6 linked regions of the Canis lupus familiaris genome follow. The protein of the gene in region 1 interacts with the protein of each later gene in a pairwise test. Links are inferred from orthologs where the notes say so. Each region holds a gene or a part of one and is shown in the gene's direction. Other genes may lie near its edges.

Region 1 (3,926 bases):
ACGTGACCTTTCTTCCTCCCCAGAGGCTGTGGGATGGTGAATGTTGCCATTCCTTGTTGCTGTCTGGGGGGGGAGGGGGGGGGGGACGGGGGGCTTGAGGAATCGGGCCTCTCCTCCTGCACAGCAGGGGTGGATGGAGGCCGAGCCCTCCTCCCTGAAGTTCCCCTGGACCCCCAAAGTCCGGGCTGTGAGCTCTTCAGCTCCGACTTCGGACGATCCCCTACGAGACGCCCACGGGGCTCTCGGCCGGCGCTCGGGCCCACGCGGGGGACCGGGGCCGGGCGGCCAAGTCCTGCAAGACCTGCGGACTCGGTCCCCACCTCCTCGCTCGCTCAACTTCCCACTAAGGGCTCATCCGTCTCCAACGCCCGCGAATTAAAGGCAGAAAAACAAAACCTCTTCTGCGTGCGAGCGAAGCCCCCCGCCCGGAGGTTTCGGGGAGACTCTTCCTCCCCAACAGGAGGGGACCCATTTTTGAGCAAGACGAGAAGTTTCCTGCGGGGCTCGCGCGGGCGCGCGGGGGGGGGGTCCCCGAGGGGCGCGCGGGTGCGGGTCCCCGCGATCGCCGGCGCGGGCAGGAGCGGCGCCCCCGGCCGCTCCATCCTGCCCCCCGCGGGAGGGGGTTGGGGTCCCGCCGGGGGTCCCGCGAGGGTCCCCGGGGCTCGGCCGCCCACCTGCCCCCGGCCGGGCCGTCTCCGCCCGCCGCCTCCCCCGCTCCCCCGCCCGCGGAGTCTCGTTCCAGTCCTCCCTTTGTCCTGCCCCGGATTGGCAGGTTTTATTATTCCGCCTGAACAACCCGGCCGCCCAGTGGCTGAGGGTCGCTGACGTCGGCGGCAGAGCCGGGGAGTAGTTGGGATTCGGCTCTGTCAGTAACACATGTGTAAGCGCCGCGCAGGGAGCGAGCGAGCCGGCTAGAGGCCAGCGCCGCCGCCGCCGCCGCCTCCTCCGAGCCGGGCGGCCGCCGCAGCAGCAGCAGCCCGGGCAGCGGCGCAGGCTCCAGCGCGCCGGGCCCGGCCGGCCGCAGCTCCCCGGCTCCCGGCCTCCGCGCCGGCCGCCGCCGCTCCGGGGCTCTGGTGCCCGCGGCCGCTCCCCGGCTGGAGGGGCAGGAAGCGCGGCCGAGCGCCCGCCGCCGGCCCCGAGCGAGCGAGCGGGCGAGCGAGCGGGCGGGCGGGCGCGCGGGAGGGAGGAAGGCGGAGGAGGAGGAGGAGGAGGAGGAGCGGGAGGCGCGCGGGCGGGGGCGGGGGCATATACAAAGTGAAGCCACATTGCCAAACTTGCAGCAGCGATTGCAGCAGTTGCTGCCGCTGCGCCGCGCCTGAAGCCGCGCCGCGCGGGCCGCGGGCTCCTGCAGCTGCTCGCGCGGAGCCGGAGCCGGAGGCGGAGGCGGAGGACGACGCGGAGGACTCAGCCTGACACTCCAGCTCCCGGCCGCCTGCCGCTTACGGCGGGGCCCCCCGACCCAGCCTCAGGGCGACGCGTTTAAAAAAAAAAAAAAAAAAAAAAAAAAAAAGCAGCCCTTAGCCCCCTCCTCCCCTTTCCTGCTTCTGCGAGAACATCCCCCCTCCCTCCAGCTCCGCCAGCCAAGGCGCCCCTTCCTTGGAAGCCGAGCGGCTTCGCTCGCTTTTCGCCGCCGCCGCCTCTCGCAGTATTGCAATATAGGGGAAAAGCAGGTAAGGGGACGGCTGGGGAGCCGCGGGCGAGGGGGGGCAGAGGGAGGAGGGGGCCGATGTGGGCCAGGGCTGTTTTCTTTGGCTTCCTTCCCTTGACCGTCCCAAATTGCAAGTAAACAATACGTCGGCTTGGATAATGCGCGAGTCTGAAACTACCGAGGCCGGCCTGCGAGCTAGCACGGAGGGCAGCCGGCCCCGGGCCGCCAGCTTTGTAGCGGTTCCTGCTTACAAAAGGGTTCTTCTTGGAGACGGGGCTGCTGGGGACCTGGGAGGGTGGGGAGGGGTGTGTGTGCGTGTGTGCGTGTGTGTGTGTGTGTGTGTGTGTGTGTGTGTGGTAGTGGGGGGGTATTTTCAGTTCCTAAGGGAAAGGCCGGAGGTGCTTAAATGAGGGTTTAAGTATGAGAAGTAGTGTGGGGGAAATAGTCACGACCCCCCCCCCCAGCCCCCCAGTAAACACTATTTTTGAAACAGTGGCAGAAAGGATCTAAGTGAGCAGGATTCAGTATTGCTGGTTCTTTTCAAAAATTCCTCTTGGCTTATAAGTCTTTTGTTCCAATCCAGGAGAAATCCGGTGAATCACCTAATTAAAATCAAGACATGAATTAAGCATCCATTTTTGTACTACAAATTGCCAGCGCTACGTTTGTCCCTCCCCTGGTCTCCATTAAAAAACACCAGAGACGTTGTTAAAGGGGGGCAGATTTTGCCTCTAGCTGCCAGTTCTGCTTTCTATTTCACTGACTATCCCAGGACCTAAATTGCTTGGCTATGTAATTACTAGAGTATAAGCCTATTTAACTTAAAAGCTTTCTTTTTTTTTTTTTTTTTTTTTTCCAACTCTAAATGAAACTTGATGAGGGCCCGTCCTTAGTTATCAGGGGAGTCAGTTTCTGGTCAGTCCTCTTGATTCATCTCTTTTAGATTTAATCAGCATTAAGGTATTGCTTGTCCTTAAGAGCTTTAGCTAATGGGGTTACTGGATGCTTTTCTCAGTGTAATGTTTCCTTTTCGAAAAAAATATACATATATATTTACCTCTCACCAAAGATGGGGGCGGGGAAGAGCTTGGAATCTCCTCCCTCCCTCTCCCCTTTTAAAAAGGAATTCGGAGCGATTAAAACGTTGGGGGAAACAGTTTAAAGACCTCGGGCAGGAAATGCAGATTCATTTGGGTTAGGGCTGAAATTGTAACAAAAAGCAATTCCTCGAGTAAATGCATCAGATAAATCAATTTACATAAAGGTATGATGCATTCGGATAAATGCAATGCTAATGGGTTTTAGAGTGGTCCTGTTTCCAAAGTCTCAGGGTTTTGTTACAGCTTAATTGGTGCAGTTCTTATTCTGGTTTATTGTGCGGTCACTGGACACACGTTCCGGGACTCTTTCGGAGGAAATGTGTTTAAAATCGGCCTATTTAAGGAACCCGAGTCCTTGTTTCGTTCCCTTCCCCTGGTTGTTTTTTTTTTTTTTTTTTTTTTTTTTTTTTGCAGCAGCCAAGTTGGGCCGGGGACAGGCAAAGTTCGCCCTCTCCCTTCTGAGGTATCAGCTGAATGTCTTGAGCAGATAGCCGGGAGCCTCGGGGGGAGCCTCCACTCTCGGCTTACAGAGGACAAAGACAAAACAGGCTGCTTAATTGGCAGTAAATAACTTGATCTTTTTATAGAATAAGTGACTGGAGGAACACTAGGACTTTATTGGACTCAGGATTGGAGGCAACAAATTAATCGGTTTAGGCTAAGCTTTATAAATTGATTCCTATATTATACCCCAGTTGCTTCTCGTGACATTCATTAGAAAGAGTGGGGAATTTTTTTAAAAGCAGTTTTTGGTGACAGCAGGACTGGCTCGAATATAACTTGTGCATCCCTTAATAGTGCCTTCTCGCATATTATCTGTAACGTCGCCCCCCCCCCCCCCCCACACACACACACTCCCCCCCCTTTGGAGGAACAAAGCTTTAGCATTTAAATTGCTGATCAAGGGCAGATTAGTGAGACCAAAGTGGAGAGTGTTTGTATAGGAAGTTAACAGGCATCCTAAAGTTCAATGATCTATTATTCTTGCCTGTGTCCTGAAAACCCAGAGAAAACACTCATTGATCTTCAAAATGAAATGAGATTTGGAACAATAATGGGAGATGGCGGTCACCACAATGGCATGTGAAAGGTGCTGTTTAAAATACGAAAAACCAGTTTCGCAACTTTACACACCGCACCCCCTCCCTCGCGTCCCCTGCCTCCCCTCCCACCACCTC
Region 2 (3,500 bases), on another chromosome or scaffold:
CCATTTAATTTGTTCTCCAAATTCACCTGCTCCTGACTTGACTTTGGCCATTTCTCAAGTGAACTGTAATGGTTACTTTGGATTATTTTGTAACATATGTGCCTTTTGGTGACTGAAGAGGCTTGAAAAGCTGCAGCATTTGAACCATAGAGATGTTTGGGGCCTGGGCAGTTATTCTGTACTGTGAGACTACAAATCTGTATGGCTTTCTCATCTTTTATTTTGGAGAATAAACTTCAGCAGTGCTGTAGGCCCAAAAGACTCTGAGTGTTGTTAATTTGTATTAAGATGAGTTTAGGCATCCATGGAAGAGGTTTGCTGCCGGTTAACTGCTCATCGTTAACCCCTTGGTAAGCCTAATGGCTCTGAGCTGGGGTTGAATCAGCTTTCTCATTACTCTTCTTTCTAGACCACGCCCGTGACCATGCAGGTTGGAGAAGGTCAGCAGGTCCAGATTGTTCAGGCTCAGCCACAGGGTCAAGCCCAGCAGGCCCAGAGCAGCACCGGACAGACTATGCAGGTGATGCAGCAGATCATCACGAACACAGGAGAGATCCAGCAGATCCCGGTAAGCCTGCTCTGCCTTGCATCTGCAAGGCACTGTGCTCCTGTTGTAACGAGAGTGCTTATAGATCTTAAACGCACACACAGAATATTGCATATACCCATGTGTATATATGTACGTACATTTCTCTAAACTTATATCTGTGTAAGTGCAGACCACAGCTTGCTTCACTGTATGCTCACTGCTCTCTTTTAATCCTGCTCAGGTTTACCACCGTGGGGCAGCTCCTCTCGATTTCCCTGCACTCCACCTATGCAAAGAATGCTCGTAACCACTGTTCATGCCAAGACCCAAAGGCCCTGTGAGGCAGCCCTCCCTGTCTTTTGATTAGCAGAGAATAAGAGGGAGGTGTACAGAGAAGGCCATAAATACACTTGTTGCATATTCATGAGTCAGTTCCCAGTGGAGCCTGCAGCAAAGTGTATTTTTGGCTTTCATTTAACTTATCCATCCCTTCACTGTGGACTGCTGCTTCCTGTGTGCCTTGAGGGATTTCATTTCTTGGATTTGTTGGCTTTTTTACTTATACTTGCTCTTTTGTAAAAAATGCCCCATCTTAACACTTGCCATCTATACATTGGTCATTTTGCCACCCAAAGGTGTGGAAAGTGAGTGACACGGAGCAGTACTTCTCTTTCCTGCCCCTTGCCCTTCCTCTTGTAAATGACACGTAGGCAGATAGAGAAACTCGCTTGGACTTGGTTAACTACTTCCTCTTTGAAAAAGCTCCATTTTTGAAACTGTTCTTATTAAGTTAACAGGGTAATAGACCAAGAGAAAACTTAGGGAAAGTGGAGTGTGTGTGTCTCTATCTTTCCGTCTCCCCTCCTGCCCTTCCTCCTTTTCTCTACTTTTTGGTGCACTCTCCCTCTGCTAGAGCTTGCACCCTCTCACTCCCACTTTTTTCCTCTCTCTCTCTCTCTCTCTCTCTCTCTCTTTCTGTCTCTTTCTCACATACATACCCCTCTTAGTTCCAGGTGCCTTCCCTCACTGTCTCAGCCACCAACCAAAGACCTCTCTTGAATGGTTCTCAGTTTTACATGTGAAGGCGCCAGAACTTAAGCCAGAGAAGAAGAGTTCCCTCTTTGCAGTAACTTTAACTCCACAGTCTTTTTAACCTTCCAGGACACAGAGCGTTAGCACAGATTTGCTGCAGAATTCACTATTCTCAGATAACTTCTGCAGAAGTCTGCACTTCTAAATTCCTCAGAGTGCTCGCTCCAATAGAGAGGACATTCAGGAAGGAAGCTTTGCTTCTTTTTTGAAAGTCCAAAGGGCAGGTGTATTTGTCCTGTAATTAACATCAAAACGCTGCCAGGGTCCCCAGACCGATCATTGTGGCAGAGCATCACCAGATGTGTAAACCTAAGCCTAAAAGAGCTTCTGCTTCTAGGAACTGCTTGGAACTGTCTGGCTCACAACTTTTCAGTCGCATCTGAGTTTCTGCAAAGAGCTCTTCCCAGCTAGGAAATGTAAAATCCCTGTGGTTGTCACTACACCTTCCCTGTTCTTGGGAATAGGCTTTAGTCTTTCATCCTGTGTTCCTTGGCTGGAGTTCTGGTGACTCTGGGACCAGCCATGATTGGTCCCAGCAGACGATCTTCCCCAGCTTCTAGCCAGCTGCCTTCATCCCCAAAAGCAGCTTAGTGTTGTTGCCCAGCAGCCACATTATGGGACTTCAGGCGGGGCCAATCTGTGCCTGGCATCACAACTTCCAGCAGCTCTTCTTGGCATAGTCTCTCAGAAAGAATTGCAGGTCATAATATCTTGCCCTGTCTCATGTGAACCAGATTAACGAGTTTAGGTTTTCTATTCCTCCAATTTGCTGTAAGTGGACAATTCTGAAATTTGGTCTACCAAGAACTTCTAAGAACTACACTTACTACCAAGTATTTGTCTTTTCTTGGTGGTTCAAATCCTCTTTGAAGCTGAAGTTGTAGAGAAGCAGTGTGATTTAACACTGCAGGCAGGAGTGCAGCTTCGTGTATCAGCATTTTCCTCATGGAAGTAAAATTCCCTGCAAGGGAATTCGGTCTTAAATTCCCTTTGCTCCAGGACAAAGAGACATGACTTGCCCGTTTGCCTCACGAAGTTCACTGCTGCAACAATGGCAGGCTGGGCAGCCAGGGAGAGTGGTTTCTGAGCCCCCGGATAGAGACCAGTCTGTCCTCCTGGCACCACTTTTCATCACCCAAATCCCGAGTGTGAATGTTGGCAGTGCTCTGCTGACTCTCCTCTGCTGAGCCACGGTTCCTCTCTTGCAGCCAGCCGCCTTGGTCTCTCCATTCCTGCCCGAGGCACTGAGACTTTCATGGTACACTGGAGCGTTAAGAGTCTGAGTTAAGGCTTTTAGTGAACAATTAAATGCAGCATGTGGTATTATTGTATTATCTGAGACTTAATCTTAAGCATGAGGGACTCTAAGGGCATTTTTGTAGCTTTGGTTTCCCATGATGGGGTTTTCTGTGAAATATTTATTGATTCAGCTTCCCCTTGGGAGGAGTTTGGCCAGAAGAAAGTGCTGAACACCAAGGATCCTAAAAGTCCCACAGACCCCTGTTGGTTCTGGCTCTTGGGGACCGAGATAGTGAAGCAGGCTAGCTTTTTCTTCCAAGATGTGCAGCATGGGTCGGGCAGGACTAGGGCTAGGGCGCAGAGTGCTGGCCATCTGCTTTGGGCTCCTGACAGATGCTGGAGTTCTCAGTATTAGATCAGCCATCCCAGGAATTGGCGTGGCGGAGTTTGGAGATAGAGTGGAGAATGGCCCACACTTACGGTACAAAGCATTCCGATCATGTCTGACAGTATGGGATAAAATCCTAAGATAAACTGAACAAACGGCTGAGAGCCAGTGAATGTTGAAGGTGTGGCCATGCTGTTCCTCACATATGTGACCAGATCCTCTGGGAATTTTCTCCAAAGTCCACTTAGGGAA
Region 3 (4,042 bases), on another chromosome or scaffold:
CTTAATAAGCATTTACTAAATACTTTCTAAGTGGCAGTGTTCTAGACACTGGAGATAGAAAAGTGAATATGGCAATTTTTAATATAGAAAAGAAATTGAGCATGGAATCTGGGTCTATGGTCCCTTCAACAGCTGCAGCAGATTCACCAGAGTGCTAAAGAACATTCAGACCTATTGAATCAGAATTTCAAGAGGTAAGGCTCAGTAATCTGTTCATAATCAGCACTTCAGATGATAAATAGGAAAGTTTGAGAATCACTGTATCAGTAAGTAGGAAAGGCTGTTTATAAATGTGCAAATATTATGAGAAGAACAAATCTCACATGATCTCTCTTAATACAACCAATTTCTGTCAAAATATGATCTTCTGTTATTTCTTCCTTCCAAAAGATTACTACACATACTTAACTGGGAACTGGGACCTTGTTCCAATCTCTTACTAAACTTCTCTTTTACACCACTGTAACCCTGTACCTGGCACATGGTAGGTATCAATAATTTGTGTTCAACTGTTGAATATTCAAAGTAAAAATCCTTCAAGTTGTCCTAGTATATAGAAATAGGAGGTTTTCCCAGCTTTAGACTGGAATGATATGAGGATCATTTGAGTACAAGGAAGATAACATATTCAGGCAAACATCTGGTCAACTTATACCTTGTTTTCCTCCCTTTAGAAATGCCTCCATCTAGGTCTCAGGGCCACTACCCTTGTAGGGAATATGAACTTCCCTCTCAAGGCTAAACTAGACCAAGCAGAGCCAAGTGGACTAGTGGAAAAGGTCAGGCATTATGGATTCTTCTTCATTGTAGATAATCTCTTTCTAGAGGCTTTAATCTGCAGAAAGCCCTGAAGTATATTTTTAAAAGGATTACCTACCTCTGAAGATGATAGATACTCCAGTATCTACAATAAGAGGTTTATAACAATGGACTCTTGCTATGCCTGCATAGATCTATCCCTCCCACTAGAACTCTGAATTATTTTGCTGGAGGCTACAACATTCTGAGTAGTTTGTTGGGAGTTGATGGGAGGTGGGGATAACTCACCCATACAAGCTTAGCAGAGTTGAGCCGCTGCAGCTTGTTGGGCTAGCCTTTGATGCAGACTGGTTGGACAGGTTCTGGATCTACAGAAGAACCGGTTTGACTGGCCTGTTATGCCAACATATTCTGGTTTGATTCCATGTTCCACAGACGGTAGAAACCTGCCCAGCCAGTTAAATGAAAGGCATATTAGGTTATCCATTGCACACTGTATATAGCTTAGATGCAGCAGGACTCTTTCACATAGCAGTAGTGTCTAGCAAACTCTAGTGTGGTCCAGAGAAGCGGCTTCCTCTGATTTACTGTTTAAGTTTGTAGCTTCAGAAGTCAGAAGTGAAACACCTTGTGCTTTTGACCCAGAGCAGAGGTTTCCTAAATAAATTGAAGGGTAAGTTAACATATTTTTTTATATTCCTCAATTTTCTATGCACTTTTGAAAAGCTAAATTAAGAAATGATGTTTAAACAGGTATCTATGTTTAACATGATAATGCCTGGATTATACCTTTTATGTCAAGTTGGCTAAATATTGTTTTATAATACTTAAATATAAGTTCATTGATTTGTTTAGATAAAGATTACTTGGTATATAATACACTATTTTTTGTAAGTTGGGCATGGCTTTAGTTATGAAGAAAGCTGGGTTGAATACTTTTACTAAATAGATTTCCTCTTAATGATTCATGTTAAGCCATCTACTTCTTTGATAATATACTATCATGTTTTATAGGACATTGCTATATGGTAACAATTTTATATGGTCAATCTAATTGTGAATATGATAATAATTGCCTTTTTAAGGCATAAAAAATAGTGTTGGCCTGCTTGGTGATCCTAAGTACATTACAGGAACAATTCACAGTAAGAATTGAGAAGTGTGAAAAACAAAGATTGTGGAATCTGGTAACTGATTAACTATTGGAGCTCAAAAGTACTTGCTGAGCTGAATAGAAAGGAATGAAGACAGGTTTTGTCATGCCTATTAGGTCTGAAAAACTTTTTAAGTTAAAGAATATTTGGATCTTCCTTTATATTTTTAAATAATTTTTACCTCTCTTTTTTACTGATGCAATTTTTATTTTAAGTAGTTTGTGTCTTTTAAAATCAAAGTTACCAATCAATCCCTTTACATTTATTTTGGTTACCAAACTACTCCCTTAGTTATTAATATCGGATTGAATTGAATGTACATATCTTCTGGACATTGAATTAATATAGCAGCTGACAAGTGAATTTATCTGGGAATTAAAACAGCTTTTTAAAACAGAATTATACTGAATACTTTTCTGTCAAGAGCTGTCTATAGATCATCTTAATATGACTTTGTCTTAAACTGAGCAAGAGTGATGCATCTTTTTTATTGTCCCCAGGTCCCCACTTTGTCATGATGTTCAAACTCAAAGGCTCTAAAAGTTTCTTTAGGAAGTTAATAAAGAATTTTTTTAAGTGAGAAATAATGTTCAGATATCATTTTGTTTGCAGGAAGGTTTGCACAGAATTGCAGGCAATTCTGCACAAAACTTCTGAAAATTCAGCTGAACTTCTAAAAAGCTATGTATATTGAATCTGCATAAGGAATATGCTGATTCAACAAACCGAAATCAATTTTATTCAGCATACATTTGTATTCTGACAATTTTAGGGGAGACTATGGATCAAAATTTTTCGTTGGCTGAAAGTTTCTCTTTTCAATTAGTTTTCAGGCAAGATATAGATATATGTCATTAGAGTATACTTTTAGTGTTTCTGGTAAATATATTATACATATTAATTAAAAAATTTTAAACTATACTGTTTAAAATACAAGGCTTTCTGTTTAAAGATAAACTTAAGTGGGAACTGCAGTTTATTTAGTGGACATTTTTTGTTTATGGTTTTAAAGAAAGCTATTTAGAAACTAGATACATATTTCATATATACATGAAAACTTTGGATAAAATTTCAAGCCTAACTATACTTTGGAAAAGGATTCTACAGCTCTCATATAATACACTTTGCAGTTTCAAATATATGAAAGTCCATAAATATGACCTTTATGTATTTCCTGTAAATCGATCCCTTTAAAATACTAATGCATTGTGATGTTTTGCTAAAATTAAGGACATATGGATTTATAAATCAAATTATGGAGCTGTAAGTGTACATGTGTGTATTTCACATAGCCCTACATTATCTCAGGACCCAGGTCAAAAAGGATTCTACCCATCTAAAAATCTCTTTATTCTTTAAATTAAGTCAGGGATGTATTCCTTTATCCTTATTTCTAGCCTCTCAGTTTCACACAATGATTCTTTTTGTCAACAATTCTAGCTTTCTTAACAACTGCAACCTGTTTCCTTCCTAAATTCTTCATATGTTTCCAACAAAAAGCACTTAGAATCCCGAAATTTTTTAACTTGAAGAACTCTTAAAGAATAACTAGTGCAGGGGCACCTGGGTGACTTACTCGGTTAAGTGTCTCTGACTCTTGATCTCAGCTCAGGACTTGATCCCGGGGTCATGAGTTCAAACCCTGCAATGGGCTCCAGGCTGGGCCAAGAGCCTACTTGAAAATAAATAAATAATGCATAAATAAATAAATAAATAAATAAATAAATAAAGCATCCAACTCTCCATTCTTCACTTAAATAAAAAGCCCCCAAATGTGGTTAAATCACTACTATTCAAGCTAAAAGTAGACCTGGGAGCAAAACATTTCAGTTTCCTGAATACTAGCCCAAACTAATATTTTTCACTATCCTACATTGAGTCTTCTGAATATTACATGAAATCTACTCTATATTTTCTAAAGAACTGTAAAAGATAAAATTATAAGTCTCTACTAACTCATAAACAAAAAAATGTTTATTTTCATATATATATATATATATATATTACCCTTATATCAATATAGTTTAGGATTTGCCAAAGAAGTTAGTACTTCTAAAATTTGGTTGGAACTGGCAGGAAAATTTCAGTAAGGTTATAAAGACCAGAATTGCAAAGTTCAAAACCCATTT
Region 4 (3,947 bases), on another chromosome or scaffold:
GGTGGGGGGCGCCAGCCTTGCCCCTGTGGTCCCGAGGTGCGTAGGGGGGCGGGGAATCAGTGCCTGCCTCGGTGGTCCTCGTGTGTTTTAGGTGTCATGCCCCCCCCCCCCCCCCCCCCCCCCGCCATGGGATGGACGCGAGTGCGGTAGTTGGACTGGGAACTTCCACTGGGCAGCGGTGACTGGGTTGCCCGCGAGCAGGAGGTGTTCCCGAACCTGGATGTAGAGGTGCCGGCGCTCGGTGCCTTAGGACAGGTGCTACAGCGGGCGGCGCAAGGTCCGGCCGGGGCTGCAGCTGGCGCCTGGGGGACGCTCCCTGAGGCTCGGGGGGGGGGGGGGGCGTGGGGTCACCGGCCGGGGCTGCAGCTGGCGCCTGGGGGACGCTCCCCGGGGCTCAGGGGGGCGGTGCTCGGGGTCACCGGCCGGGGCTGCACCTGGCGCCTGGGGGACGCTCCCCGGGGCTGGGGGGGGGGCGTGGGGTCACCGGCCGGGGCTGCACCTGGCGCCTGGGGGACGCTCCCTGGGGCTCGGGGGGGCGGTGCTCGGGGTCACCGGCCGGGGCTGCACCTGGCGCCTGGGGGACGCTCCCCGGGGCTCGGGGCGGGGGGGGGGCGTGGGGTCTCCGGCCGGGGCGCCCCCGCCCCCCCCCCCTCCCCCGCACGCGGCGCCGGCCGCACCTGCCTGGGCGCGGAGGGCGAGCCCGTGCGCGCCGGCGCCGCCGGGAAGGTCGGGGCGCACGTCCGCGGGCAGCGGCGGCCGCGAGCTCGGAGCGCTCCGCGGCGGTGTCGTTACACACTTCCTGTGGGTCTCGCGGCCCGCGGCGCGCTTCCGGTGCCGGCTGGAGCCCGGGTCCGAGCCCCCGCCCCGCCCGCCCGCCGGCCCCGCCCCGCCCGCGCCCCGCCCCCCGCCCGCCGCGCTCCGAGCTCCGAGCTCCGAGCCGGGCGCGCGGAGCCCGGGGCGCACGGAGCGGCGCGCGCCGGTCGCAGAGCCAGGCTGGCGCCCCGGCCCCCGCCCCCCCGGCCCGCGCCCCCGCCCCCGCCCCCGCCCGCCGCCCGCCCGGCGCCCTCCCCGCGCTCCCTGCCTGCGCGCCCCGGGCCTCCGGCCGCCTTCCCTCCCTCCCCTCGGTCCCGCCCCGTCCAGCCCGGGCCCCCCGGCCCCCCCCGCCGCCGCCCGCGTTCCTATGGACAGACGCACAGACACCTGCAGGTGGGTGAGAGCCCGCGCGGGGCGGGGACGAGCGCGCCGACGCTGCGCCCTGGGCCGGGAGCCCCTTTGTGTGGGGGGCGGCCGCGCTGGGGTCCGCGGCGCCGAGCGCTGACCCGGCTGAACCCTCTTTTGTCTCCTGGCGGGGGGGGGAAGGCCGGGAGCCCGTGAGGGCAGCGGCGGGGGCGCGGGGCGCGGGGCGCGGGGGGGACCCGGGCTCCGAGCTCCGAGCGGGGCCCCCGCCGCGCAGCATCCCCCGCCGCCGCCGCCGCCGCCGCGCTGCGTGGTCCGGCTCCCCCGCGCCCGCCCCGGCTCTGTCCGGAGGGGGCAGGAGGGCGGGAAGGGGAAGGAGCCGTCGGCCCTCGTAGTTTCCAAGTGTTGAGGCGCTGGCGGGGAGGGAGGCGGGAGGCGGGAGGCGGGAGGCGGGAGGCGGCTCGGGGCTCTGCCCGACTTGTTCCGCCGGCGGGAGGCGCGGCCGTGCAGGGGCGAGCGGCGCTCCGGCCCCTTATTTATTGTCTCCAACGGAGGCGGCGTCCCCGGGAGGCCCCCGCGCCCCCCGCACCCCCCCGCCGAGGCCGCGGCCCACGCGCGCGGGTTCCCGGGCCCCGCGACCCGACCGGGCTGCGAGCAGCTTGGCCCCCGGCCCCCCGCCCCCCCGCCCCCCGGCCCCCGGCCCCAGCCACGCTCGCGGGCCGAGTCGGTGTTCAGGTGCTGCCTCTCCTCCTCCTCCTCCTCCTCCTCCTTCTAAGGTTAGGCAGGGACTTACAGGCAAATCGAAGATGAACATGGCTGGGATTTTTACCTTTTGGTTTTCTTTTTGCATATATGTATATATATGTATATGCACATATTTTAAAGTTTGATGATAAAGTTTTGTTATTTCCCAGACTCCTTAGGATTAGCAAGACAGTCTCCTACCTGTTAGGTAAACAGTTACCAAGCGAGTCAGGTGCTGGCTGACAGCCTCCACGGTGGAGGTTAAATGCAAATGCAGTAAATATCCAGCCTCCCGTGCAGGCTAAAACCTTTATCTTTTGCTGGTTTAGAGCCTGAGGTCTTCCACAGCACAGGGAGGAGAACATAAATGTTAGAACTAATTTTTTTTTTCTCTCCCCCCCCCCCCCCCGTGAGTGTGCTTTCCTTCTTTTATTCTGTGTGTCTATTCCCTCTCTCTCTCTCTAAAACCCCACGATTGGGTCGTACATGGTGGAAATAGTTTTTTTGCAAAGTAGCGTAGGTGATATTTCCGACTTATATTATTCATCTGGTTGAGCTTCTTGTGAAGAGCTGATGTGTATTCGTAGGTATCCAAATTGTAAATGAAGTTGAATGAGCACCCAGAAACTTGATTTTACAGATTCACATTTTTAGTGCAGGCACGAATTTATATCTTTGTATGAATCTCAGTCTAGGGCTCACTTCTGGAGACCTTTTTTTTTTTTTTTCTCTTTCCTGCCGTGTGAGAATCCATATGGACAAATTTAAATCTGATGGTTATCAAGGAGACTGAAAAAATAGTTTTGGGTGCACTCAGGTCGTATATGTGGAGTTGTATGTAGAAACCAGAAGCTTTCTTAAACATCTGAAAAACATTGTGGTGGAAAAGAATTTATTTAAATCTTCATCAAGTAGGATACAGAAATTCATCAGAAAGCAATGTACAATGTTAATACAGTTTTGATTAGGCAAAATGATTTTTGTCATGATGAAGCGGAGACAGCTTCAGTGTGCCGAAAAGTCATTTTTTTTCCAGAAGAAAAAAATTAGCCTAGATGTTTGCCCTAGTTACATTAACAGATTATTATTATTATTGCATGCCCAACGTTGTAAGTATCTGGGCTGTACATTTTTATACACTTAAAACTTAGAAGATGCTACATCTAATCTAACAATCTTACCAGTCCCTTTGAACTGATCAAATTTTATTCTTGTTTTGACTTCCTTTCTAGATTAGCTGAATGAATGTAGAGGGCATATAGGGTTCAGTGCAAGGCACTAGTAGGCCCTTGTGCAAGATTCCACTTTCTTTTCTGGTAAGGACGGCCCAAAGAGCATAGGTATTGAAATTTGTTCAGGCTTTATTAGGAATGGTGGGATGGAGTCAGAACACACTCCCGGAGTTCCAGCTATTTGATTACACACACTCTTTATCAGTTCTTAGGAATTTTTTTTTTAAAGATTTTATTTATTTATGAAAGACAGCGAGAGAGGCAGAGACACAGGCAGAAGGAGAAGCAGGCTCCATGCCGGGAGCCCAACGTGGGACTCGATGCCGAGTCCCCAGGATCACACCCCGGGCTGAAGGCAGCGCTAAACCGCTGGGCCACCGGGGCTGCCCAGTGCTTAGGAATTTTTAAAAAGATAAGTTAATAACTTGAATTGTTTATGTATTTATCTGTCAGTCAGAGGGATGAGGTTTAACAGAGTCACGGTGTAAATTAAATATTAAGAGAGTGTGGTCTGTGTTGAGAATTGCTTGGCAACTTGTAGTTATGCCAACAGTTTTCTGGGATTGGCAGTGTAGTGTCTTCCCATGGGCAGGCTAAGAGGTAACACCTAGTTTGTTTTTGTTTTTGGCTGTGATATATGGGTATTCATTTTTTTGTTTTTGTATAATAAACAGTATTTTTTTGTGTAGCCCGAAGCAGTCCAGAGAACCTTACATATTTTCAGCTGATTTCTCTTCTTGTATGTTGGTGGTTAGGAAGGGGTATAAATTATTTTTCACTCTTCATGGTTGAGAC
Region 5 (4,147 bases), on another chromosome or scaffold:
ATTTTGTATATTATATCGAACCTACTGCCTTTCTGTGGGCAAAGCCAAAGTCAGTTGGCTAGGAGAACAGCTTTGTCTAAGTAATAAGAAGCCGGGTTGCAAAGAATGATGTGGTAAAGAATGAATGGGAATCAGGAAGTATAGCTATCAAATGAATACAGTGTATTTAAGCAAGTTGGTTATGAAGGGAAGCCAGAGATGATGGTGGTTAGAGGTTGAGGTGGGAGGACTCTATTTTAGGCATGAGGAGACTTGGGGATGTTTATAGCAGAGGGGTGGACTTAATGGAGAAAGTGATGCCAAAGATATAAAGACAACAGAAGATAATTAAGAGTCTCTAGCAGAGATGGGAATGGTAGGGTAAATTGCCCAGGTAAGATAGGTTGAAGGGAAAACAGAGGTAAAGACAGATTAAGCTGGGAGGTTTGAAAGAACGAATGGTGAGATACCTGATAGTGCCATTTTCTGGAAACATTTGGAATCCTGATTGGAGGGAACACTCAAAGAAATAGTAAAGAAGTAGAATTAAAGACTGGATGAGGCGAATGAGTGAGAGAGATAAGTCTCTGACCGTGCCCAGGTGAATGATAGTATTGGGTTAAAAAAAGGGGGGGGGGGGAGGACTGAACAGCAGGTTTGGGAGGAAAATGTGTTAAGAATGAGTTTCTTTGTTTACACTGAATCCATCAACAGTCCATATTGACTTTTGCCTGTAAACTTTGAGATCCATGGTGCCTACTACCAAGATGAACCTCTGTTGCAAGCCGTGAGTATATAGTGCAGCAGAAGCATTTCGCTCTGCTAGATTCTGAATAGCTTCTGTTGTTAGAGGACACTGGGATATAAGAAAGGGCTTTTCAGAAAGAACATTAAGTGGAGGATTTATTTGACCTACGAACTTTTTTAAAACCATGAATACATCCCCTTGACTTGATATTGGAGATCAAGTGATCTATACTTTGAGTTCTTTATGAAAAATGGAAATCAGAGTCTCAAGGGAAAGAAAGAAAAACTGTGTTTTTTCTGGGGGAAAGGTTTTGTTTGTTTGTTTTTACAACAACAAAAGGGAAAATTGAGAGGGAAAAAAAGATTTTAAGAGGGAAAAAGAGGGAAAGCAGGAGAAATGGGGTTAGCCAGGGGCCTGGAAAAATAGTGACTCTGAGCAAAGAAAGATGACTGAGTTGGAGGGAGGAGGAAGGCAAAACCCAGGAAATCACAGGGAGAGGGCGTGAGAAAAAGAGAAACATTTAAGGTGGGAAATTGAGGACAGTGACCTTGGAGGAGATTGGAAGACAAAAAGGAGTGCTATCGGGGATGAAAAGGTTTGCAGATTGAGGTAGTGGGTGGAGAGAGAATGGGTTGATGAGAGGGCGAGGAGGCTGCGGCGGTGTTTGTGCGCGAGGCCCCGAAGCAGTCTGGGCGGAGCAGGTGGCAGAGGCAGCCGCGGAAGAGGCCTGGCCCTTGCAGGTTTCCGCCACCATCACGTCTGGAGGATGCTCCCGGGCGGCGCGGGAGGACCGTAGGAAGACCGAGGCCAGGAGGACCGCGGTCGGGCCCGGGAAATCCATGAAGAGGGCGGACGGTGGGTCCTGCTGTCGCCGCCGCTGCCCCGCGCACCTCGCGCCTTACCGGTCCGGGGACGCGGCGCGAGCCCCGCAGCCCTCTCTGCAGTCTCCGGGCCGGGAGCGACGGCATCCCGAGGCGGCCGGCAGCTGGGCGGCGGCGGCCGAGGAGGAAGAGGCAGCGGCGGCCGCCGCACCCTGGATGAGGTGAGAGCGCTGCGGGAGCCGGGGGGTGGCGGCGCGGGCGCGGGGCGCGGGGCGCGGGGCGCGGGGCGCGGGGCTGGGACCCAGGGCCCGGCTATCCCGCGCCCGGGAGGGATGGGCGCCGACTCACAGCAGCTTGGACGGGGTCGGAGGACACCCAGGAGGAGGTCTTGGGGGGCCGATGCGCTGGTGGCGGGGGAGAGGGGGGAAGAGCGGTGGGGAAGTTGCCTAGAAATAAAGATGTGCTGCTGGATTGTGCTGGACTAAGGCTTGGGAAACGCGTCTCTCTCCCAGGTCTTGACACCCGCTCTGTCGGTGCCCATGAAGTTGAAGGCCATACCTACTGGGTCGAGTCAAAGGAGAGATCAACACAGGATGCAGAAGCCATGCCAGGGTGGAAGCATTAGGGACACCGAGCAAAAGGAGATAGAGGATCAGGAAATGTGCACGGGTGTACCGTTGAAGGAGCACCCATTGCTTGCTCTTACACCCTCTTTTTTTTGTTTTTGTTTTTTTAATTTACGTGGTTTTTATTTACCTAAGATATAGCAGGGTGGGGTTTGGTGATGGTTCTTTCTTTCTGGGCTCTCTTCCCCTGCGGAGCCCGAGGGAGCTGGAGCTCTGCCTGTTGGCCGGATGAGGCCGTACAGAACAAGCTCCACTTAAATTCAGCCCCTTCCTTTGCACTGAGATGGAAGACTGGACAGATTAGGCCTACATTTTCTTCATGTAGCATTAGCAGCACAAAAATCTGCCATGCATATGAGTTTTGGGAGGAGAGACAGATTGTGCTATTGGCCATTTTTGAAATAAGCGTTTCTTTGTCTTGGCATTTTTAGCTTATTCTTTTATGGGAACCCAGTACTCATAAATCAGACTACAAGGCAAGAGTGTCTTCAGTCTCTAAGCTACCGTTAACTAACTAGGATGTGAAAAAAAGGAGCTTGATTTCCCTAGGCCTCGTTTCCTATGCTTAAAAAATCACAGTTTCGATCTTTTGAGGATTAACTACAGAACTAGATATTAATGGAAACTGCTTTCTGTGTTCAGGACTAGGCTTTATTTGTGAACTGAGAAACTAGTTTATTCACACTTAATTGTATTTATTCATCATACTGTCCACTGTGAGAAAAAGGAGTCAAAGACATTTAGTTAACAGTGCTTAAAGGAATCTATTTCTATTTCTAGAAAGGAATCATTTCTATTAAGAAACTCATAAAAAGATGACTGCTTTTAAGAAGGAATGAGGCAGCACCTAAAACTAATATAACACTATTCATTAACTGGAATTAAAATAAAAACTTAAAAAAGAGGGAGCACCTAGGAGGGTCAGGTCATGATCCTGTGGTCCTGGGATGGAGCCCCACATAGGGCTGAATCTTCTTCTCCCTCTCCCTCTCCCTCTTCCATTCCCCCATACTCATTCTCTCTCTCTCTCTCTCAAATAAATAAAATCCTTAAAGTATAACTTTAAAAAAGAAGGAAGGAGGCAAGAAGCACTCATTATTTGATTTTTTTAGAATGTGGAATTTTAGTCTAAACAATTACTTTTTCTTAAATGTATCTCTGTGGTGTTGAATATTTTTCACAGACTACTTTGGATTTTTTTAAAGCTTGAAATTTAAAAAAAATCATGTGAATATGTATTTATAATTTAAAGTCTTCTTAACTGTTTTATACATACTGGAGTGAATTATTTTCATAAAAAGGAGCATTGCTATTGCAAAATTTAAAATAGATCAAGACTCCTTTTATAAAAATGTGACTTTTCATACTGTCTTTGGTAACAAAAAGTTTATAGGGTTCTCTAGTTGTGTTTTAATTGTTAAAATAGATAGCACACTTTCATTATTTCCCTAATGGTTATTCATCTGGCAAATCTCTACATCTTAGTTGATATAATGATGAGCCTTGAAACGTTTTTAAACATTTCAGGAATTCCCAAATGAAGCAGTGTCAGGAACTTCACTGAGGTTGCTGCTACTCTGGCCCTCATTTAAAAATCAGTTCTTGAGTGCCTGAGTGGCTCAGTTGGTTAAGCCTCCAACTTATGATTTCAGCTCAGGTCATCATCCCAGGGTTGTGAGTTTGAGCCATATGTTGGCTCTGCAATGAGTGTCGAACCTGCTTGGGATTCTCTCTTTCTACGTCTGCCCCTCCCTGCTTGCACGCTCATGCACACATGCATTCTCTATTTAAAAAAAAAATCAGTTCTCTAGGAATGTGTAGCATTTATTTATTTATTTGTTTGTTTATTTATTTATTTATTTTTAAATAGGCTCCACACCAACTGAAAGTGGGGCTTGAGATCAAGAGTTTCATGTTCACCCACGAGCCAGAGGGGCACCCCTTTACTTTCAAAAACATACCTGTCTTATCTA
Region 6 (4,172 bases), on another chromosome or scaffold:
GTAGAGATTACTTAAAATCTTTATAAAAAGAAAGAAAGAAGAAAGAAAGAAAGAAAGAAAGAAAGAAAGAAAGAAAGAAAGAAAGAAAGAAAGAAAGAAAGAAAGAAAGAAAGAAAGAAAAAAGAAAGAGGTCAATGACAGAAGAGATGGCTAAAAGTGGAATGTGGATGCTTTTAGAAAGGAGATTAAGAAGGTAGAGAAACAGTGGGTATTGTATTGTATTTAAATATGTTATATTTAAAAAGTGTGTGTGCTTATACTGTGTGAGAATAAAAGTTTTAATTCATTTGCTGAGCATGAAACATGGAACAAACAAACAACCTGTCTCAGGGCATAATTTTCAGGAAATATCTGGTCCATAAAGATTAAAATAGAAGTTGGGTATCATTTCTGGCAATGTAGTATTAACTTGAAATAAAATATGATATACTCTCCATGCTTTCCTTAGTTCAACGATTCATAGGTATGGACTACATTCCTGTCAGAACTTTCACCAATGTTCTTTAGGAACAAGTGGTTATAAATTAAACCTTTGGTAATCTGCGTTGTTCCCAACCAGGGGAAACAGAACCGCAAAAAAGTCAGTTTCATCCTGAATTGTTTCCATAGCAACCATATTAAGCTGGAAGGATAAAGCACCTTTGTAGTCGCTGCTTCTATTGAATTACAATGTAAATGTTGATGCCTGCCTGGAAACGTCAAATGACAACAGGTTTATAGAAGGGATTCGGTGGTTGTTTGCAGCTCTGGAATCCCAGGCTAGAGTTGAGATAGAAGACACAGGCCTGGGCCATCTTAGCGTCTATTCACCCCAAATCTTCTCACCCCATCAGAACCACCCCACTCTTCATCGGCCTAGCCCATGAAAGGATGCTCATCCATGTGAAAATCTGTAATCTACCTGGTATCTTTTACACATCGGGACACGAAAAGTGTTTGTTCTGGATAAGAATGTTAAAAATGCAATTACACAACCGACTCGGCAATCTTTGTGTTTCTACCCTTCGGAGCACAAGGTAAACTTGAGGCCCTCACTCTTCTGACAACGTCAAAAAGTGGGTATTCAAAGCCTTGCGGTCAGGCTGCGCGTTTGATTCCGGGCGGCTTGGGGTACCTGAGTTCAGCTCTCCTTAGGCCTTCCGTTTGACCCACAATCCCTAGTGGTTGCAGGTGTTGCTTTTCTCCTCCCGCCCCCCGGGCCGTTCTCCGCGAGGAAGGGAGCGTGGCGTAGGTCTGCTCAGAGCAGCGACCCTCCGCTCCCACGGGCGGCCGCAGAGCTGCAGGCGTGCCGCCGCTCCACGCAGGTAAACTACGGAGTGAGTTACCTGCACTTGGAGAAGGGCCTTACCTGAGCGCGCCTCTGCCAATGGCAGCTCACCTGAGGGAGCCTCGCAGCCAATCACCGCGCAGCTCGTCCCTCGGGCTTGTATCCTTTAGTGAAAGAATTCAGCTCCCTGCGAGAAAGTTACCTGTGGCCGCCCAAGTCCGCCACTTTCTGCTCTGTGGCCGCCCATTGCCACGATCCGGGAGGACTCCGCGCCGCGCGGCCGCCTCCGAGCCCGGGCCCCATGTGAGGCCCCCCTTGTCCCACCTTTCCGGCTAGGTGAGGGCGCGGGCGCGCGAGCGAGCGAGAGCGGTGCGGGGGGACGGAAAAGCAGAATTACCTGTAGCTCTTGTTCTGCCATCTCGGGCGCGCTCACACACCGTCACCTGCACAGACTTGAAAGTCCAGTTTCACCAGAGGCTGAGGCTCCAGGAAAAGGGGAGCGAGTTCATTGGATCAAACATGTCACAAGAGTCGGACAAGTAAGTGGATCACACGCGCCGGCTGCTGCTGCTACCGCTTTGGGCTGATGGCAACTGGTTTGTTATGTTTTTGTTTTTGGTGTGTGCTTTTTTTTTTTTTTTTTTTTTAGTTGCTATTGTTGGTATTTTTTTTCGTTCTTTTTTCTTTTTCTTTTTGTTGTATCCAGACTTTTCCAGATTACGTTTCTACCTTGGTTAAGCGGAGGAACCCTACAAGAATGCGAACGTCTAATACCCCCTTTGGGCCTAGACGGTCCCCGCGGGCGACCTCCGCTGCCGCCTCCCGGGGCGAGCACTGGCCCCTGGCACAGCTCGGGCCGACGAGGCGGGAGGCCTGCGTTCTCCCCCTGGTCGCTCCCGCCGCTTCAGGCCTCTAAGGCCACTTGGAAATTCAGCCGAGCTCCCTCGATTTGCGCGAAGGGCCTGCGAGCCGAGCGGGTCCGGCCGCTTTTGTGTGAGCGCAACAAAGGGCCCTTACACCGGAGCCCAAACGGCCATGTTCCCGGGCCCGGCCGGGCAGCGTGTGTGCGCGCCCGCCCGTGCGCCCCTGTGCCGAGGCGCGGGCGCCGGGGGTGCCGCGGCCCCGGGGTCCCCCCGCCCCGCCCCGCCCCGCCCCGCGTGTCGCCCCCGCAGGTGCGCCAGCGCGGGGCCCCGGGAAGTGAGGGGAATCGACTTGGGGCCTCGAGCGGGCACGTCCGCGGGGGCGCCAGAGGGCCCGCAGCCGCTCGGCTCTCCCCGTCGGGCGGCGCGTGCACGGCCCCGCGAGCGAGCCCGCGGCCCTCGGCGCTCCCCGACCCGGCCGCCACCCCGGGCCTGGCTGGCGAGGCGGCGTGGGTCGCGCCGGGCGCCCCGAGGGCGGCGCGGGCAAGCGCGGCCTTTCCGTCCGGGACGGGACGGGACGGGACGGGACCTCCGGGCGGGCCCGGGGATCGGCGGCCTGCGCGGCCCCAGCCTCGGGGTCGCCGTCCGCCGTCCGGTCGCGTCTCGGCGGCCTCGCGCGGCCCCGGCCCCGGCCCCCGCCCCCGCCCCCGCCTCGGGACGGCTTTGTGCTAGCGGGGAGGTGGGGCCGACGGCGGGGGCGGGGCGGGAGGGAGCTGAGGTGGGCCCGCGGCCTCCTGGGGACTAGGCGGCGGCTCTCCCTTCCCGCTCGGGCGCGCCGGGCTGGGACCTGGCCGAGGCCCCGGGGAAGGGCGTGCGGCCGCCTTTCTGCTTCCCGCGGCGACGCCGCCCCGGTGTTTGGGCGCCCCAAGGAGACCTTCCCGAGGCGCCCTCGCCGGGGCCGGGGCCGGGGCCGGGGCCGGGCGCCACCAGGCCGCCGGTGCCCCCCGAACTGGCCCGGGACCAGTCCCAGATGGACGGGCCGCGAGCGGGCCGCGGGAGTGCCTTAGGGGCCTGCCGGGGGCGGGGGCGGGGCGGGGCGGGGCGGGGCGGGCCATCTTCCGAGTAACGCCGCGGGTAGAGAAGTGCCCGACGCCCCGGGCTGTCCCACCCGCACCACAGCGACCACAGCCCCCCAGAACCAGCCACCAGATGATAGGACGGTGCCACCCATCAGCCCAGAGCCGCTCGCTCCACGCCTGGCGCCGGGACCGGAAGGTGTGGGACGGTGCGGAGCCCGCCGCTCCCGCCGCTCGCTCGCTCCTGGAGCCTGTAGGAAATCGTTCCCCGAGCTTGAAAATTTCGGTAGCCAAAGCCCGGAGATGACAGCAGGAATTTTGGGATTGTTTTCCTCTTCGTGTCGAAAATGGTTGCAAACCTAGTGCTTATCGGATACGACTTGTTGCGATTCTTTAATCGAACCCCACGATTAGCACTGGTGGCCCTCTGAGTTTTGTGATGCACCGCGACCCCGCTGGATTCGGAGCGAGAGCGGACCGATTTTTAGTTTAACCTGCTGTCACTCCTGGCACCAACAGACTGTTTAGTATTGAAAATAAGTTCTGCTTTGGCAATCTGGTTTCACCACGATGCATTACTTAATTTTTATTGGTAATAACTATTCGGGATTACATATACTTCTATGTAATGAAAGCAGCTTTTATCTAGTCATACTTTCCAAGACTTAATTTTGTATCCCGGTAAAAGTAATGCCATTAAGAACAATACCCACAAAAGACTGTTGGACCCCACTTGCCTCTCTCCCTCTGCCTGGACTATTGAGAAACGCTTAAAATTAATAAATGATAACTTGGGGTTTTAGGAATTCTAGCTTTGTTTCCTTAGTGTGGAGGACCGGAGGGGTGGGTCTGGGTTTCACGGGCCTGAAGCTTATGCAACTGTGTGTGTTAGGTGGGGTGGGAGTGTGGGCTCTAAAAAAAAGAGCTGAAGAGAGAAACCTATTCTGGCTTCCTTCCTGCCAGAGCAAG

The links.
Region 2: the proteins of LMO4 (region 1) and NFYC interact in binary tests that used the Homo sapiens proteins (3 or more experiments, as listed by UniProt). The link is inferred for Canis lupus familiaris from reciprocal best matches to the Homo sapiens genes LMO4 and NFYC.
Region 3: the proteins of LMO4 (region 1) and RBBP8 interact in binary tests that used the Homo sapiens proteins (3 or more experiments, as listed by UniProt). The link is inferred for Canis lupus familiaris from reciprocal best matches to the Homo sapiens genes LMO4 and RBBP8.
Region 4: the proteins of LMO4 (region 1) and KIAA1958 interact in binary tests that used the Homo sapiens proteins (3 or more experiments, as listed by UniProt). The two-hybrid records come from large-scale screens. The link is inferred for Canis lupus familiaris from reciprocal best matches to the Homo sapiens genes LMO4 and KIAA1958.
Region 5: the proteins of LMO4 (region 1) and PDE4DIPP2 interact in binary tests that used the Homo sapiens proteins (3 or more experiments, as listed by UniProt). The two-hybrid records come from large-scale screens. The link is inferred for Canis lupus familiaris from reciprocal best matches to the Homo sapiens genes LMO4 and PDE4DIP.
Region 6: the proteins of LMO4 (region 1) and GRHL2 interact in binary tests that used the Homo sapiens proteins (3 or more experiments, as listed by UniProt). The two-hybrid records come from large-scale screens. The link is inferred for Canis lupus familiaris from reciprocal best matches to the Homo sapiens genes LMO4 and GRHL2.

What each region holds. Positions count from the first base shown.
Region 1 is NC_049227.1:61,435,912-61,439,837, reverse strand, and holds the start of LMO4 (LIM domain transcription factor LMO4), read left to right. Parts: upstream 1-1,126; 5' UTR 1,127-1,670; intron 1,671-3,746; exon of another isoform or gene 3,747-3,838; intron 3,839-3,926. UniProt on the Homo sapiens protein: Transcription cofactor. Plays a role in establishing motor neuron identity, in concert with MNX1, acting, at least in part, to disrupt LDB1-LHX3 complexes thereby negatively modulating interneuron genes in motor neurons.
Region 2 is NC_049236.1:2,343,200-2,346,699, reverse strand, and holds part of NFYC (nuclear transcription factor Y subunit gamma), read left to right. Parts: intron 1-409; coding exon 410-568; intron 569-3,500. UniProt on the Homo sapiens protein: Component of the sequence-specific heterotrimeric transcription factor (NF-Y) which specifically recognizes a 5'-CCAAT-3' box motif found in the promoters of its target genes.
Region 3 is NC_049228.1:65,368,909-65,372,950, reverse strand, and holds the start of RBBP8 (DNA endonuclease RBBP8), read left to right. Parts: upstream 1-1,242; 5' UTR 1,243-1,432; intron 1,433-4,042. UniProt on the Homo sapiens protein: Endonuclease that cooperates with the MRE11-RAD50-NBN (MRN) complex in DNA-end resection, the first step of double-strand break (DSB) repair through the homologous recombination (HR) pathway.
Region 4 is NC_049232.1:67,371,934-67,375,880, forward strand, and holds the start of KIAA1958 (uncharacterized protein KIAA1958 homolog), read left to right. Parts: upstream 1-1,147; 5' UTR 1,148-1,206; intron 1,207-3,947.
Region 5 is NC_049238.1:57,721,410-57,725,556, forward strand, and holds the start of PDE4DIPP2 (myomegalin), read left to right. Parts: upstream 1-1,347; 5' UTR 1,348-1,362; coding exon 1,363-1,769; intron 1,770-4,147. UniProt on the Homo sapiens protein: Functions as an anchor sequestering components of the cAMP-dependent pathway to Golgi and/or centrosomes.
Region 6 is NC_049234.1:3,333,881-3,338,052, forward strand, and holds the start of GRHL2 (grainyhead-like protein 2 homolog), read left to right. Parts: upstream 1-1,372; 5' UTR 1,373-1,786; coding exon 1,787-1,806; exon of another isoform or gene 1,807-1,863; intron 1,864-4,172. UniProt on the Homo sapiens protein: Transcription factor playing an important role in primary neurulation and in epithelial development. Binds directly to the consensus DNA sequence 5'-AACCGGTT-3' acting as an activator and repressor on distinct target genes.